Linked DNA regions of Danio rerio. The protein of the gene in region 1 interacts with the protein of each later gene in a biochemical or structural test. Links are inferred from orthologs where the notes say so. Each region holds a gene or a part of one and is shown in the gene's direction. Other genes may lie near its edges. The genes, in order: jun, smad3a, mapk10, runx1 and prkd1.

Region 1 (3,613 bases):
AACATTACCTGTATATTTATCTTACTAATGTTGTTATAAATACAAATAAACTAGCTATTGTGTCTTTACATACGTTTAAGCAACGTCAGTAAAAATCTCAGAAAGTAAACTGAAACGTCACTTGTCAGCTGTCACGCTATATTCGATCAGTTTGTGGTTGTGGTTGACGCAGTGACGTTTAACAGGGTTGTTTGCACTTTTGAGAGGATCTCTAGGGACTGTCACGGATACGGCGGCTGGACTTTGTGGCACGCTGTCACTCCACAATAAGAAACGCCCCCATTTTTAGACCATTGGCTGACGGAGCAAATGCACTTTGGCATAAAAAAGCAGACTATAGCCCTGTTTCTTCGTGCCAGATTAAATTATGTATGCCTGTATAACACTGAGGTTTTTAAACTAGGGTTCGGGGACCCCCAGGGGGCCAACAAGGGAGTGCTGGAAGTGAAGAAGAGTAAAATTAGCAAATACTAATTAATTCATAATATATTTCAACGACTGATTAAAAAAAAATACTTTTAATCAGCTAATCTAACATTATATTCAAACAAAATGAGTAACATCAAGTTATGCTTATTTAATTTATTATTTCAGAAGGCATTTCTTCTATTTTTTTTTCGTTTTAAATCTCCCTCAACATTTTATTGTAAGGTTGGAAATTAGTTTCACTGACTCCAAACTGTATTTCTAATATATATTTTTTACCTTACTGATGTATATGCAATACATTAAACTGGATCCAGAGAGTGTTTGGAACTTGCTGTTGTTAAAGAATGGCCGCGTCTTGCGAAACTCGCGCAAGAATTGGTCAACTCTCAAACATACAGCGGCACACATTTATTCTGCCTCTTCTTCTCAAACTTATAGTAAAGTTTAAGTTCTAAAAGTGGCGCGTTGTACATTACTCTGCTTCTTTGTATCCCGCCACGGTCTAAAACAGCTAAGCGGGTAACCAGATATTCAAAAACAATACGTAATCCCACAATGCACTGCTTTACAGCATTACCTCATCCCATCAGGCACCGCGAGTAGAATCTTCTGGGTGGTCGTCTAGGCAACGCGCCTTATCTGAAATTGTGACACGCCCAGTAAAACGCCTCCAGCCAATGAGAGGCTGCGCGCATTACATCATTTCTATTTTTAGTGGGGCAGCGGTAGCAGATAAGGTTTGCCTCCACGCTGGAGAAGCTCAGAGTATACAGACCTCGCCACAGTGAAACACCTCACTCAAACCAACATAAATAAGCCTTCGGCTAAGCACTGTTTATCTGCTGGTGTCTGAGAAGCGCGACAGCGGCGGAGGAAGAACTTTCTATCCGCGGAAGGCAGGAGGAGACGAGCCCGTGACACTGGCGATAACTTTACGCAGTAAGTTTCTCGCGGGACGGGGAGTTGAGGAACTTTTCCAATCCTCTCGCTTTTGTTCCAAACACCGCAGCGCTCGTTACTGAACGCGGACAGTGCTTAACAGCGCCTAAAAGACTGCTTCTGAACTAAAAGTTTCGCTTTGCCTTCTATGTCTACCAAGATGGAAACTACTTTCTACGATGACTCTCTAAACAGCGCTTTCTCTCAGCATGACAGCGCCACTTTTGGATACAACCACAAGGCTCTGAAACACAACATGACGCTCAATCTGTCCGACCCCGCGGGGAACCTAAAGCCCCACCTGAGGGCCAAAGCCAGCGATATCCTCACTTCTCCCGACGTGGGACTTCTCAAACTGGCATCACCGGAGCTGGAGAGGCTCATCATCCAGTCTAGCAACGGCATGATCACCACGACGCCAACTCCGACCCAGTTTCTGTGTCCCAAGAACGTGACGGATGAGCAGGAGGGGTTCGCGGAGGGCTTTGTGAGGGCACTGGCTGAGCTGCACCACCAGCACATGCCCAACGTCACCTCGGCTCCCCAAACTACTATCAACAGCAGCATGGCACCGGTCTCGTCCATAGCGGGCGGTGCGGTCTACAGCTCAGCCATGCGCGCTGATCCGCCGGTTTACGCGGATCTGAACACGTTCAACCCTGCTATCAGCAGCAGCTCGGCCAATCCAGCCGCGATGAGCTTCCCGAGCGCACCACCGCAGCTGCCCGTCCAGCACCCGCGCCTCCAGGCCCTGAAAGAGGAGCCCCAAACGGTGCCCGAGATGCCCGGCGAGACCCCACCGCTCTCTCCTATCGACATGGAGAGCCAGGAGCGGATTAAAGCCGAGAGGAAGCGCATGAGAAACAGAATCGCCGCGTCCAAATGCCGGAAGAGGAAACTGGAGAGGATCTCCCGGCTGGAGGACAAAGTCAAGACCCTGAAGTCGCAAAACTCGGAGCTCGCGTCCACCGCCAACATGCTGCGCGAGCAAGTGGCACAGCTCAAGCAGAAAGTCATGAACCACGTCAACAGCGGCTGCCAGCTCATGTTGACACAACAGCTGCAAACCTTCTGAGGAGAGCCGAAGGACATTTTGAGTTCAGCCACATAAACAAACTTCAGGGGCTTGATGTCTGCGATCTGGCGCGACAGAGCCCGCGGGGACCGGGACCGTCCGGCCGGCCGCGTGCCGTTAAAGGATGATCCGACTGGACTTTTGAGGAGCGCAAAACTTCACTCGGTCCGACAGAGACGCAGAGCGCATGAGACTCACTCTGTTACATGTTTTACTTTCTGACGAAATCCTTGTTCACATCGACCAGGTTGTGCATGGACCTATACGCTTCAAAGGAGCACTCAGTATTATAGGAGTAAAACAGAGACGCGACTGCCGTACAGTAGGGATACTGGCTCACCAAGCAGGACGTTGTGTCTGCTAAACTTTTGATAAAAAAGCTGCCTGACTTCTGAGCTACATATTGTACTTTTTTTGTTGTTCTTAAATTGAACGGAAATCGACTTTTTTCCTTTTGAGTTAGTCCAACTTAAGCAGTTTCTTTTTCTAAAAAAAAAGTTCATTAATGAGGTTTCACTCATTGTTATTTGTAAATATGATCAACCAGGAGTACTTAAGTTTACCATTTGTAAGTAAAGTACAATAATTTTTTATGTTTGTTTTCTGAGCACCTCAGAAACTAATCAATATTTATGAACTGTAATAAAGTATGTCAAATGAAAAACAATGTCTCTGTTGTCTTAATGGAAATGACGCTTGTGTGTGTATGTGTGTGTGTGTTCAAATTGACAAACATGTAATAACATGTTTTGGAAGAGACTGGCTGTTTTGTAAAGTCCACAGACAGGACTGGGAAAAAAGGGTGTCAAAAAACATCCTTACAGTAATTAAAAATAATAACATTATAAATACATGCTTAATTGCTAAAGGTTAAATGCAAACTTAATATAACATTTTTACATCAAAATAAAGCAGACACATAATTTGATTGACTCTTTAAATCAGTAATGCTGAAATTATCAAGTAATTATCACACAGTCAAGTACTAAATAGACCAATGCCTTTAATCATGGCCTCATTTTTGTGTCAACTGAAACAAAAGTTTATTAAGGTTAGTGTTAGCCTGCAAATATGTTAAAAAAAATTGTAGAAGTTGAAGATGTATACAAGTTTTAACAATTTAACCAGCAACAATGACTTAATATTAAATTAATAAATGGTTGAAATTTA
Region 2 (3,003 bases), on another chromosome or scaffold:
GTGTCCCCTTCACTTTTACTGGGGCATTAGGACGTCCCCTGCTGGCCTCTCTAATACCACTTTCAACAGCAACCTAGTTTTTCCTATGTGGTCTCCCATGCAGGTACTGACCTGGCACAGGTCTGCTTAGCTTCAGTGAGTAACCGGTCTTAGGCTGCATGGTGATATGGCTGTGGCAATAATAATAATAATAATAATAATAGGCAACGCGGTGGCACAAAGGGTAGCGCTGTCACCTCACAGCATGAAGGTCACAGGTTCGAACCCCGGCTGTGTGGAGTTTGTATGTTCTCCCCGTGTTTGCGTGGGTTTCCTCCGGGTGCTCCGGTTTCCCACACAGTCCAAAGACATGTGGTACAAGTGAATTGGGTAGGCTAAAAATTGTTCACAGTGAATAAGCGTGTATGGATGTTTCCCAGTGATAGTTTACAGCTGGAAGGGCATCCGCTGTGTAAAACATATGCTGGATAAGTTGGTGGTTCATTCCACTGTGGGGACCCCAAATTAATAAAGGGACTAAGTCGAAAAGAAAATGAATGAATGAATAATAATAATACATTTAAACTAAGTGGTTAACTCAGGTGCTGGTTTTTGGTCTTATTTATTTGTTTTGTAAATTTGCATTGATCTTATTGACATGAAATGTTGTGACTTTTCCTACACTTGCTTCATACTTAAGTGCTTATAACTTAAATTGGCAAATGTGCTTATCATTGGATGCTGGATAAGTTGGCGGTTCATTGCACTGTGGCGACCCCGGAATAATAAAAGGACTAAGATGAAAAGAAAATGAATGAATGAATGAAATACTTGAGCCATAACTTTAATTTACTGCAAAACTGATGCCTGTCACAGTCATATTTTCTCTTATAATGTTAATTATGTAATGATTTATATAAACAAATTCAAGCAGCAAGAAATACATTTCATTTTTTGGAGCTTGCCTTTACAAGCATTCAAGCCAGCCCCTTTCCACTTCATTTGGCCTAAATAAAATCATATACCTTTCAGATTTTATTAAGTTAGGCTGTCTGTAGATGATTAGATTACACTGATCTGATGCAGTACATATATTTGAATATGGCTAAGTGTATTCATAGTTTTGCACATTGTGTCGGCATTCTGATTTCTAATTATTTCTCTCTCTCTTTAATGGCGTCAGGCGGCAGACAGTGACTAGCACCCCCTGCTGGATAGAGCTGCACCTTAACGGGCCTCTGCAGTGGCTGGACAAAGTACTCACTCAGATGGGCTCCCCCTCCATCCGCTGCTCCAGTGTGTCATAGGAAGAAAAAAAGACTGCACAAACTCAACATATACAAACCACCAGATCTGGAAAAAGTTCCTTCAGGACTCAAAGGCTGGAGATTACAGACTCGGTAGCACTTTCACATGTGTTTGTTTCAATGTTGGAGACATTGTATTATTACAGTATATGTACAGTACATACTTGTTTTTTTATGTTATTGTTAGCCATTTTTATTGCCATGAAATATTGCCATTTATGATATATTTTGTTATATAGCATGTCTATGTGAGATATCTCTTCTCTGTCATGTCTTTTCTGATGCTGTTATGTTAGAATTACCATAACAGAGGCTTATTTTTTTAGAGGCGTGATAAAAAGTGCTTTTTTTGTAAAGTGTAGATATGTCGTTTTTACAAATTTCGGTTAAATCAAAACAACACAAATCTGGCCCAATGTATAATGTTGTCTAATACATATCAAGAGTTTGACATTCTTTAGTTAGGGATGGTTTACATAAAATGAACATTTTAAATCAAGTGAACATTTACTCAAACTCAAGTGGTTCCAAATTTTAATGGATTTCTTCTGTTGAACACAAAAGATATTCTAAGAAATGATGGGGGAAAAGTAGCCCTCATTCATTGTACAAATAAAAAAAACTATAAAAATCAACAGCCGTTGTATCCCCTGCATTTATCTCTCTTTGTGTTTAACAGATTTAAGAAACTCAAACAAGTTTGGAACAAATGTAGAATGAGTAAACGATGACAGAAGTTTCATTTTTGGGTGAACTGTTTTAAGAAAGAAAGAAGAAAAAGAAAGAAACTCTTTGACTCATTTTTCTTTTTTTTTTTTAGAATTCTACTCAAACATTGAATCCCCAAATTAATATCTGATACATATCAAGAGTTTGACATTCTTCTTGACGGGATACTTTACATAAAAATGAAAATTTTCAAATAATTTACTCACACTCAAGTGGTTCTAAACCTTTATGAATTTTGTCTTCTGTTGAAAACAAGATATTCTGAAGAATTTTGGTGGAAAATCAGCCCTTGACATTGACTGTACAAACAAAAAATACTATAAAAGTGAAGAGCTGTTTCGTTCCTACATTCTTCAGTATATCTTCTCGTGCGTTTAGCAGAAGCAAGAAACTCAAACAAGTTTGTAACAATGAGTGGATAATGAGTAAGCGATGACAGAAGTTTCATTTTTTGTCCCTTTAAAAAAGAAAGAAAGAAAGAAAGAAAGACTTTGAGTCCTTTTTCTTTATTTTAAGAATTCTGTTCAAACATTGAATCCCTAAATTAATGTTGAATACACATTAAAAGTTTGAGATGTTCTTCTTGAAGGGAAAATTTGCATAAAAAAACGTTTAAAAAAAAAACGTTTTTACCTCTTTACTCACATTTGAGTGGTTTCAAACTTTTATAAATGGTTTCTTCTGTTGAACACAAAACAAGATATTCTGAAGAATGTTGGGGAAAATAGCGCTTTACATCCACTGTACAAACAAAAAATACTATAAAAGTCAAGAGCTGTTTTTCCGTACATTCTTCAGTATATCTTCTTCTGGTGTTTACCAGAAGAAAGAAACTCAAACAAGTTTGGAACAAGTGGAGAATGAGTAAACGATGATAGAAGTTTCATTTTGAGTGAACTGTCCCTTTAAAAGAAAGAAAGAAAAAATAAAGAAAGAAGGAAAGACAGTCTTTGACTTCTTTCTCTTGTTTTATAATTCTGTTCAAACG
Region 3 (4,125 bases), on another chromosome or scaffold:
AATAAAGGTACAACATTATGGACGTTTTTGTCATCTCTAATTCGAGCATGCTTGAAAATAATTTGGATTTAATGATTAATATTTCCAGTTTAATAACCATCTGTAATAATGCACACAAGTATGCATATATTTCAGCAAAGATTAAAAGAATCGCATATGCATTCATTTACTATTTAAATGACAAATGTTAAATGATTTGGAGTAATGTAATGTTTTAGAAGCTCAAAATCGAAGCATAAAACATTTGTGCAGTTTGTTGCAAAATGGACTGCACTGAAGAAAAGAGTAAACCAATTAAAGCAAAATAAAATTGACTGAACTGGACAAAGAGTTCCTATATCAAAGACAAATAATGTCAAATAAGAAATTTAAAAAGCCCCTCAGGCTTTCCTTGCCTATTTTTATTTATTTATTTATTTATTTATTTATTTATTTATTTATTTATTTATTTATTTATTCATTCATTCATTCATTCATTCATTCATTCATTTAGTTATTTTTTTGAAGGTGGAAATCTGACATATGTTTCTTTGTTGCTTTAATAATCTGTGCATTTAGTTTAATGCAATGGCACATTGTGACTCTAAAACACATCTCTGTTAAAATGAGCCAATTACTGCAGGCTTTGGCAAAGTCCAAGGTACTGCTGTATGGACGTTGTCAGTTTTTCTAATTCGAGCATGCTCGAAAATAGTTTGGATTAAATGGTTATATTTACAGTATAATAACCATAACATATGAGTATGTTAGCCTACTTTCCATTGATTTATAACTGCTGCATACAATTGAACTCTAATTTTTGTCTTTTTTTCGTGTGTTTCTCTGTTTGTTCATTTATTTAAAAGTGCAATGTGTGCCAGAGCAAAAAAAACTAAAATTTGACCAAAATTAATCGTTTGAGAATATCATACTGTTTAATTCACTCGTTCTGATCTTGCTTTTACAATTTTCACAATTTTAAGCATATCCAGATAACAACACGCTAGATTCGATTTTAGTTATACTTTTTAATAGCCGCCCCCTAAGTCTCCTGTGAGGCGATTCATTCTAACTGATTCTTCGAACGAACCGATCGCTTCAAAAGAATCGCCTCGCTCTGTCTCTCTGCCCGCCTCCAAACACGCAGTCGGCGGTCATGTGCGCAAAGATCCGCCAATCTCCAGATGCGCGATCAGAGCGCCGCTCCTTTCCATCTCCTCCTCACTCCTATGAGACCGCTCTCGTCTTTGACGTCATCGTGTGCTCCCTCCCGTTGCCAGGCAACCCGTCTCCCGCACCCCCCACTCTCTCCTCCTCCTCCTCCCGTTTTGCCATCACTACGCTGGTAGGATCCATAATGGTACAGGCATCATCCTGCAGCACAATGGTGAGCGCGCAGTGATTCAGCATCGCAAACTCAGGCTTTAATCCAGCGTTAGACTTTCTTTTCATCTGTTTGATACAGTGGTTTTTAAAAGATTCGCCTGCCGGGATGTTTTGAACAGGACTGGACTGTCACCGGACCGGGATCATCGGACGGGCAGCTGGCACGGAATGGTAGGTCGGTCGGTCGGTGGGGAGATGTTGATGCGGGAACCTGAAGGGTGGGGTGATGAATATTGATCGAAATGAAGGTTAATGAAGTCGATGCTTTCGCGGCTTAGCCAAATAAATGATCCGTCACGAAGGTCGAACGATGTCCGAAATGGCAGGATTTCTCCGGTGTTTACCAGATCTGAGCGAGTGCGAGCGCACGTCCATCCGTGTTTTTCCTGCATCACTCGCGGTCCTGCATCATCATATGTCCTGTTTTCAGGGACCGCAGGCCTTTGTTAGAATATGGATTGATGGAATCTGGAGTCACAACAATGACGTGATTACGCAAAAGTCGATTCATTTACATGCGTTTCGGATGTTTGATTCCAATATTATATCATGTTGCATTTCAAAAAATGCAGAATTGCTAGTAAAATACTTTATATGGTATATTTTCACAATATGTCTCGCATTTGATGTTTTTAAGATGACTGAAGTGTATAGGTGCTGGAGTCTGAGATGGGCCATATGGTAATTTGTTTATTTATTTATTTAGTTCACGTTGGAAGCCTGAATAACAGGAAGCAGGGTTAAAACACACCTCATTTTGACACAGTTTGATCAAATTTGAAGTTTATTCCCAATTATGGTTGGATAACCACTATTTAGGAACAACAATTAAATATTAAATGCATGAAATGAAACATTAAAACATGTTTAGATGTTTTTAGATGTGTGATGCATGATGGAGCATTTTTTATAATAAATATTTTTGGTTTCCATTTTGAGATATCAAGAAATATTGAGTGAACATCACAGGATGTAATGATTTTTATGCACTCTAGTGCATAATGTTTCATAAGACTGCATGGAATAATAACTTCAAAATTTATTAAAATTCCAAAAGGGCATTTATATAAATGTTTTGATGCAGAAGTGGCTATGTTTGTTTATACATTACATTACATTAATATATTGACTTGAAGTTATTTATATTATGTATTGTGAGCTGAAATAAAATACATTTGCCTTTTTGAAAATTTCGTAAGATACAATATGACATTTTATTCTCAATGAAGCAATATTGGAATTAATAGGATATTAATAATCATATTTATTTTCAATCAATAGTTCTAGCATTTGATGCTTTATGCTGCAATTGATGCATATTTGAGTTCATGCTGGGGTCTAAGATGTTGAATATTTATTTTATCTTATTTTATATTTTTAGGAAGGCTACCATAGAGGTGTAAATCTATTAAAGTGTCATAAAGCAGTAAACATTTTACATATGAAGAGTTTAGATGCAAAAACCTCTAAGTGCCGTCTGAAATTTCCATTGAAAATAAACATTTTTCTCAGCTTCCTTTGTTAATGTTGAGTTAGTTCTCTTCAAAGACCATAAAAGAGAATTATTCTTTGCCATAAAAGTGATACTACTAAACATACACACAGGAGCCTGATAAAAATCATTTTAGAGGAAAATTTCAGACGGCATTTAGAGGTTTTTGCTACTAAACTCTTCATTTTATCAACTGAGTGCTTCACACTATGGAACAATCTTTCCATTTGGTATTTTGGACTATTTCGGTTTCCACTTTATGCGTTATATGTTATGCTTTTTATTAAACTATGTGGAATAATTCAAAAGTGCATGTACTGTACATGTATTTTTACTTTTTTACTCTGTGCCAAATATATATTATATATATATTTTTATATATTTGGTACAGAGTAAAAGTGGCTATGCATTAATTTACTGATTAAATGACAAAAGCAAAATGATTTGGAGCAATGTACTGTTTAATAAGTTTAAAAAAGAAGCATAAAACATTTGTGCAGTTTGTTGCAAAACCGATTGCATTTGTGAGAACAGTAAACTAATTAAAGCAAAAGGAATACACAAAGAGTTCCATTATCAAAGATTCATGTCAGATCTATAAAAAAAGCCACTCAGGCTTTCCTTGCCTATTTTTTAAAGCTGGAAATTTGACATATGCTGAAATATTTCTTGGTGCTTTAATAATCTGTGCTTTTGTTTTAATGCAATGGCACATTGTGGTATCCTCTGTTAAAATGAGCCAATTACTGCAGGCTTTGGCAAAGCGCTATGCATATTCTAAGGGACGGCCATGGACTAATCATCCGTAGCCCCCCCAAAAAACAACCCCATATGGCTAATTAGGCTGTTCCATTGTGTCTGTATATTGTTAAATCCCACAACACTGGGTACCCTGGTTATATTCGCCTCACGCTTCAGTGTCAGAGGTTGCGGCGATCATCTGAACTCTCGTATTCTCCAGGTACGCTGACATTTTGATTAGGATTAAGAGAGTGATTTTGTGAGGGAACTGCTGAAGGACAAAGCCTTGAGAAGCCGGTATTTTGTCTCCATGTGGCTTGAACGGTTCAGCAAACAATTCTTCTCTGTCAATGTTTTTTCAAGGACTTGACTCTTTTACCTCAATAGTTTATTGTAATGAATAGTATCTTGACCAATGTAGTCCACTACATTACTGTTATCTATATTTATTAGCTGGCTTGTTTGCTTAGTAAGTTATTCATATTGGATCAGTATCCTTCTCTCTATTTGCCCAGCCCCATTTAAAA
Region 4 (4,099 bases), on another chromosome or scaffold:
TATTTATTAATATTATAATTTATTATTTTTATTTATTATTCCATTAGACAAATTTCTATTTAATTAATTTATTTATTTTGATTTCTTGGAACTTGATATTGTGTCAACTTTTTTGTTTATGATCGTCACTGTTATAATATTTTCATAGTTTTCTGGTAGTTTTATTATTATCTTATTTTATTAATAATATGTGTATATATATATATTAGTTTACTGAACTGTGGTTTGAATGATCAGCATTGCGTCAGTGAGACGAACAGGCTGGCGTTTTGAAGCTTTTCTGCTTGTTCTGCTGATATCATGTTCCTTCTGATAAAAAAATACAAAACAAAATCTGCTGGTACAAAACAATCAGCTATTAGCAAACACAATCCTGCACACTGTTTCCAAACATGTTTATATGATAATACTTTAAATATACACAAATTGAATAAAGATGATAAACATAAATAATTAATAATGATTATACTTTAAGAATATTTGGTGTATTTACTTTATTTCTGAAAGGTTTGGCCGTAAATTAAACAGTGACTGAAGAAATCTAGAAGGAATACAGCTGTTCATCAACATCAGCAAACCTTAATTTTAGTGACACTTTACTATAATAATTATTATTTTTACATTACTGTGAGGGTTAGAGTAGAGGTAGACATTATTAATTAAAAAATAATTGGTAATTTAATATATAATATAAATAATTCTCTGTATAATTATGTTTTTACATTACTGTTAGGGTTGGGGAAGAGGTAGACATTAATAAAATACAATTTAATGGGTAATTTGATGAAAAACACCAATAATACTCTGTTTAATTACTGGTTTACATTACTGTGATGGCTGGGGTTGGTGAAGACGTTAATAAAATACTTTTAAATTATATTTTAATAAATAATAGGAATATTACTTTGTAATAATCACTGTTTTTACATTACTGAGCTGGTTTGGACGTTAATAAAATGCAATTTAATGGGTAATTTAATAATAATACTCGGTATAATTGCTGGTTTTACATTACTGGGATGGCTGAGTTCATTTATTCGATAAATAATTCCCGTTTACTTCAAGCCGCAGCTGTATCCCTTCTAGCAACAACCACGCGCGAGGAATTCCATTGACTGCTTAGACCCATTTCTCCCCCCCAATTCGGTCTGACCTCTGATTGGTCGAGCCCATCGAGGTCTGTCATCGCTATCCAATGATAGCGCTCCAGGGGTTTGGCGTATGCAAATTGGCTGTCCTGGCTGGCGTTCCTGCGCTGCCCATTGCCAGTAAAAGCGCGTCGCTGCCGGAGATTCATTCACAGCGCATCATCTGATCCAGGAACAGCACTTTCTCTCACTGGTCCTTCTTTTTTAGTTTTTTTAACCCAGCTAGTACTTTTGTAGTCAGTTAAAGAAAGCGAAAGTGTTTGCGTCAGGTGCGCGCTCTAACTTTCTAAAGGATACGCGCGTGGCCGATGATGATTTCTGCTGAAAGAGGAACAGCATCTGCGTAAAAACTGATCTGAGTTCAGCCCACTTCACACCGAACAGCAGGGTTGTTAAGAGCTGTGGATCCCCATCCCGAAACTCACGGAGACAAAAACATACCAAATGGTTTTTCTTTGGGACGCCAAATACGGTAAGAGCGCTTCTCAGATCGGGACAGTCACTCGCGCGTTCACGGGGCTATTTTTACGCGTCATGTTTCATCACGTCTGAATGTTTATTACAGTTACTAATCACGAAAACCTGTAACCTCAACCCTAATAATGCGACGTCAAAAGCTGAAATCAGTTCTGTTTGCGTATGATTAAACTGCAGAAATAATTAAACCTGTAACCTCTACCTTTATATTGATGGTAATGTGACATTCATGTTCATCAAAAAACTGTTTACGTAAAAAAGTCAGTTTAAGTTTAGTATTGTTTGCTTATTATTGAACTGTGTAGAGAATAAAACCTGTAACCTCAACCTTATTAATGATGCCATGATTTGTACATTAAAAAGTGTAGTTCTGTTTGCCTGTTATTGAACTGCACAGAAAATGCCAGAATATGAAATGCAAATTGATCAAGAAAGTAGTTCAAAAATAGTATTGCAGTAAAATTGGAAATGAGGAAATTGAATTAATAAATGCATTAACTAACTAAAAAGAGTAATACAATGGAAACTGATGGAGAGATATAATGTGTTATTCAGAAAATGCAGATTAATGAAAACTACAAAATAAAATAATGAAAGTACAAAAAAGTATATTATTTTATTATTTTTTTATGTAGGTATATATTTTCCATGATAAACTTAATCAAATTCCTGAAATTAAAGTGATTTTTTATTACTGTTGGTGAGTTTTTTATATATATCTACAAACCCTAAAAGACCTCAAGAATAACTAAAAACTAAACTAAAAATACCAAAATAATCTCAAACTGTCTTAAAATTTGAGGGGAAAAAAAGAAATATATATATATATAATGTGTATAATATAAACATCTGATATTTAATTATATTTTTTTAAGAATTTTGGTCAGTGTGGATGGTGTAAACAAAATGCCTTGTCACGACAAAAGAAAACCATGAAAAAGAACTGGGATGAAAGATGATATTTTCATCAATTTTATTTATTTATTTATTTTCGTAAATACAATAGGCTATTACATTTCAACCTTTTTATAGAAACTGGTTTTATTCGGGTCAAAAGAACATTCTGTAATGCAAATATTATATTACATGTGAAGTAGTTTGTACATTAAATAAACACGTAGCTGAAGTGATTATTAGTAAGACACTTAAAATAAAACATCAGATTTTGGGACAGATGTGTGTGTGTTTATTTATATATATATATATATATATATATATATATATATATATATATATATATATATATATATATATGTTGTGTATGTATATATATATATATATATATATATATATATATATATATATATATATATATATAATTTAAAGTGGTATGTATATTTAATATTTAATAATTATCTGTTTTTTCTATTTCTTGCAGCTTGAACTTATGTCAACTGTTTTGTTAATTAACATTATTCTTATTTTTTATATAAGCTATTTTTTTATTTTATTATTCAAGTCTTTGTGCACTCAATTGAGTCTGCCGTTTGTTCAGACTACTTATTTAAAATGAGTTAAAGCAACACAATTCTTGATTTTTTTTGTTTTGGGGGGGGGGGGGGTAATTATTTTGTTTATTCCACTTAAATTTGTAAAAAAAAAAAAAAAATGTAAAAAATATACACTAAATATATAGGGTAATAATAAAAATGCCAGAAAAATAACAAAATGATGATAATGATAATGTCAATAAACAAAAAAGTTGGCAAGATCAAGTTCCAAGAAATGAAATTAAATAAATAAGTAAATAAATTCAATTAAAAAATTAGCTTAGGAAATTTTTGGTCAATATATAATAATAATAATAATGTCAATAAACAAAAAAAAGCTGAGTCAATGTATTAAAAAAAAACAAATTAAATAAAAAATTAATTAACTTAATAGAGCAAATTGAATTATTTGTGTTGAACCCACCATTTATTTACAATGTGTTCTCCTAAAATAGTGATTTTTAGTGTAAATGTTTTTAATATTAGACAATTTAGCAGACATTCACTTGTAGATACACTTTTTTATTTACAATCATAAACCTTTTGGCAATTAGACATTTAAACAAGAGAGAAAAACAACCAACAGTCATACAAATAATAATTAAACAAAAGGATTTTCTCCAGCCACACCTGAAAAGAGTGATTATTATAGTTGTGATATTTCTGTTGCTCCTGAATTTCTGCAAATGCACGTCTGCCGCTTTTCCACACCTCATCTCTCTCACACCAACCAGCCATCAACAAACTCCAGTTTTAGCCTGATGTAGTGGTTGTGTTTATATTGGGCTGTGTGTTTGGAGGGAGCGCAGGTTTTGGAGACGGGTTTTAACCGCACTCATGTGGCATCGATTGTGGTTGGCCGAATAACCGCGGGCCGCTGCGATGTCTGACGCTCCTTTTGCCTGTTTTTTTCTCTGCACGGAAGTCCTCCACCGTGGTAACAGCAGTGTTAAACTATCCTTTAAAAAGCAGTGCATGAGCAAA
Region 5 (3,519 bases), on another chromosome or scaffold:
TCTACAGAACAAACCATCATTATACAATAACTTGCCTAATTACCCTAACCTGCCTAGTCAACCTAATTAACCTAGTTAAGCCTTTAAACGTCACATTAAGCTGTATAGAAGTGTCTTGAAAAATATCTAGTCAAATATTATTTACTGTCATCATAGCAAAGATAAAATAAATTAGTTATTAAAAATGAGTTACTAAAAATATTATGTTTAAAAATGTGTTGAAAAAATCTTCTCAAATTAAACGGTCAAATAAACCTTCAGAAATTGGGGGAACAAATGGGGCTAATAATTCTGACTTCAACTGTACTTATAATATTATAAATACAGGTCAGAATAAGTATGTTGTTTGATTTTTTTTTTTTTATATTTTAATATAAATGTTACACTAAATACCAATGAAACATATTCACTTTTTGACACGCATATATATATATATATATATATATATATATATATATATATATATATATATATATATATATATATATTTTTTTTTTTTTTTTTTTTTTTTTTTTTTTTCATATTAAATCCCAGAAGTGTAAATCAGACACATTGATAGTGATTCTCTTAACCAGTAATTAAATATTTGCATTGAAGATAAATTAGATTCAGGCTCTTTCAATTAATAGACTGACAATATAATATTATATGCCTATTTTAATATGAATGAACATTCACACAACCAGTTACATTTTTATTTTACTAATAAATGCAATCTAAAATATAATGTGAGCATGTAATTGAACTCATTCAATTGGGTATCTTGCAACAACAAAACATATACTTATTTTATATAATAATAAAAATGATTAATGTGGAAAAAAGGTCGATGTTGCTATTTCAGAAAGTTGATGTTGATATATCAGATCATTTATATTATTAATTTGACTGATGTATCAATTCGTCTATTTATAATAATTAGCCACAGATTAAAAATGGCATCAGATTAAATGGCAATATTACTATACAGTTTAATGAAATGTACTGTATATATGTGACGTATACTACATCTGTTTTGTGCAGAACCTCCATCATCCTGGCATTGTGAACCTGGAGTGCATGTTTGAGACACCCGAGCGTGTCTTTGTTGTCATGGAAAAGCTCCATGGCGACATGCTGGAGATGATCCTGTCAAGTGAGAAGGGGAGGCTTCCAGAGCGCATCACCAAGTTCCTTGTATCGCAGGTACATATCTGCGCAGGAATCACTCATATAAACATTTAAAGCCAGAATCAAGCGTAAAGCTGGACCTTTTGCTTTTGCATTCTTTTATTTACCATCTCCTATGTTTTATTCCGCATTGTAATAACAACATTGTTCTGCTCCTCTCCCAGATTCTGGTCGCTCTCCGGCACCTTCACTTCAAAAACATTGTTCACTGTGACCTCAAACCCGAGAATGTTTTGTTAGCCTCCGCTGACTCCTTTCCACAAGTGAGTAAAACCCGAGCAGAGATAGAAGCGACAACAAAAGAAAGGAAATATCTGAATGAAGTGAGGCCACACCGAAATTAACATAAATGGATCTGTTTTTGTAAATGCGTGCGAATAAAAGATGGTAATTATAGCGTTCTCATGGTGTGTTCGAGGCACAGGGTTGTGTGTGTCTCTACATTCTAATGAAAGATTTCTAAATTATCCTCCCATTGTTTCTTCTGTCTGCCGCACAAGCTCGTCTCTGGAAGCTCTCAAGCAGAAGGATGACTCACTGTTTGAGCGCGGGCAAACATTTCGGAAGAATACTAAACAAATCACCGCGTGTCATTTACAAATATTTTGCAGAACCCGAGCTGTCAGCGTCTGAGCTCGGTCCTCAGGTGCTTGTTGCTGTGCTTAAGAGAATCTTTTAAAGGTGGAAAGTGGAGATCAGCAGGAGATACATTGTAACCACATCCAACTGGGTGATAATTTCACTTGACTTTCCTTCAGTCCGTGACAACTGATCATTACGGCGTCTGTGGTGTTAAAAAGCTAGCGCGAGAACAAAGGGATGTTATTTTGGGGGGGGGGGGGGGGGGGCTCTTTTGTGCATCTCGGTCCTAGTCGAGTGAAATAGCCAGTTCTTCTTGTCGTCTGCTTATTGGAAAGCTCATTATTCGCTGATTTGTCTTGCAGGTTAAGCTCTGCGATTTCGGCTTTGCACGTATTATCGGAGAGAAGTCTTTTAGGCGTTCGGTGGTTGGCACTCCGGCGTATCTCGCCCCTGAGGTGCTGAGGAACAAGGGTTACAACCGCTCGCTGGACATGTGGTCGGTGGGTGTCATCATCTATGTCAGTCTCAGTGGAACCTTCCCCTTCAATGAGGATGAAGACATTCACGACCAGATCCAGAATGCTGCCTTCATGTACCCACCCAACCCGTGGAAAACAGTGACCCCAGAGGGTGAGTTTTGGGGAGAATGAGATCTTCTATGTTGCACAAGCACCAATAAATTTGGAGATTAGCTTTTTCATTATGTATTTACCCTTGTGTCAATCCAGACCTCAAGAAAATATTCTGAAAAAACACCTCAAACTGTTCTTAGTCACAAATCATTGTCATTTTAAACACTGCCTTTAATCTCGGCTAAGTATTTTAAAGGTAAAATTAGCACTGTGTTTAGCTAGGGTTATAAAACACACTGGATGTGCCAATCGACGACGCAACGCACCACACAGCGCCATGCATTTTAGAATTCTAAACAAAGTCGCAAGTCAATGGCTGTCCATGGTGCCCAGCTATGATGACTCAGGACACTGTTCATATTTCTGCAACGTTCATTTTAATAACATGCCAATGTGCACGTCTGGTGTGCGATGCTTTTAACAGTCATGTGCGTGCCGTGTTGCAGCGCTGAGCAGCGCATCCAGTGTGCAACCCTCTTTAGCAACACTCTTGCAGTGTTAAAGGTATGATTAATTGAAAATGCAATTAATCATAAATGTGATTGTCATGAACACCTTGTTAGAAAAGCATGATTGTGTTTAGTAGTAAATTTCCTCCAAAGGCCAGAGGGCGCTTTTGTGCAGAAACTCCAAACATGAAGAAACCCAGGCAATCCCCATAGCTTTGCATAATTAAAAGAAATTTTAGCTGCTTTCATTAATTCAGTGACTAATAATCACATGAATGAACTCGTCTCACAGAAGGATTTATTTCAAACAATCTACTGAATTTAGTGAAATCACTGAACACTCGAAATAATTACATTTGCTGTTTGTTCAAACAACGTATTTAAAAATTTTTGTGACAACTTAATTGTTTTATGTTCAATCCACATGAATTTGTAAAAAGTGATATGTTAACTTAATTCCTTTATGTTGTCGGAACACTAACTGTGTGAAACCCAGCATGTTTTAGAGTGAAGTAAGTTGGGAGTAAAAGATGTTTTAAAATATGGTATTCTCACATGCAGCATTTACTACACACAACGGTAGTTCACCAAGAAGTGCACAAACAGCTGTTATTATCACAGAATGATTATCTCGATTGTGTTATTGCCCAATTCATTCAATTTTAATTTTAAGCACTTGGCTTGTC

The links.
Region 2: the proteins of jun (region 1) and smad3a form a complex in vitro, tested with the Homo sapiens proteins (3 studies listed by BioGRID). The link is inferred for Danio rerio from reciprocal best matches to the Homo sapiens genes JUN and SMAD3.
Region 3: of the proteins of jun (region 1) and mapk10, one has a biochemical effect on the other in vitro, tested with the Homo sapiens proteins (7 studies listed by BioGRID and IntAct, with this or other methods). The link is inferred for Danio rerio from reciprocal best matches to the Homo sapiens genes JUN and MAPK10.
Region 4: the proteins of jun (region 1) and runx1 form a complex in vitro, tested with the Homo sapiens proteins (2 studies listed by BioGRID). The link is inferred for Danio rerio from reciprocal best matches to the Homo sapiens genes JUN and RUNX1.
Region 5: of the proteins of jun (region 1) and prkd1, one has a biochemical effect on the other in vitro, tested with the Homo sapiens proteins (2 studies listed by BioGRID). The link is inferred for Danio rerio from reciprocal best matches to the Homo sapiens genes JUN and PRKD1.

Annotation. Positions count from the first base shown.
Region 1 is NC_133195.1:16,778,628-16,782,240, forward strand, and holds jun (transcription factor Jun), read left to right. Parts: upstream 1-1,247; 5' UTR 1,248-1,516; coding exon 1,517-2,443; 3' UTR 2,444-3,107; downstream 3,108-3,613. UniProt on the Homo sapiens protein: Transcription factor that recognizes and binds to the AP-1 consensus motif 5'-TGA[GC]TCA-3'.
Region 2 is NC_133182.1:34,183,121-34,186,123, reverse strand, and holds the end of smad3a (mothers against decapentaplegic homolog 3a), read left to right. Parts: intron 1-1,162; coding exon 1,163-1,286; 3' UTR 1,287-2,498; downstream 2,499-3,003. UniProt on the Homo sapiens protein: Receptor-regulated SMAD (R-SMAD) that is an intracellular signal transducer and transcriptional modulator activated by TGF-beta (transforming growth factor) and activin type 1 receptor kinases.
Region 3 is NC_133196.1:10,935,851-10,939,975, forward strand, and holds the start of mapk10 (mitogen-activated protein kinase 10), read left to right. Parts: upstream 1-1,323; 5' UTR 1,324-1,533; coding exon of another isoform or gene 1,534-1,536; intron 1,537-4,125. UniProt on the Homo sapiens protein: Serine/threonine-protein kinase involved in various processes such as neuronal proliferation, differentiation, migration and programmed cell death.
Region 4 is NC_133176.1:2,084,025-2,088,123, reverse strand, and holds the start of runx1 (runt-related transcription factor 1), read left to right. Parts: upstream 1-1,283; 5' UTR 1,284-1,592; coding exon 1,593-1,620; intron 1,621-4,099.
Region 5 is NC_133192.1:30,457,353-30,460,871, forward strand, and holds part of prkd1 (serine/threonine-protein kinase D1), read left to right. Parts: intron 1-1,023; coding exon 1,024-1,185; intron 1,186-1,334; coding exon 1,335-1,433; intron 1,434-2,114; coding exon 2,115-2,382; intron 2,383-3,519.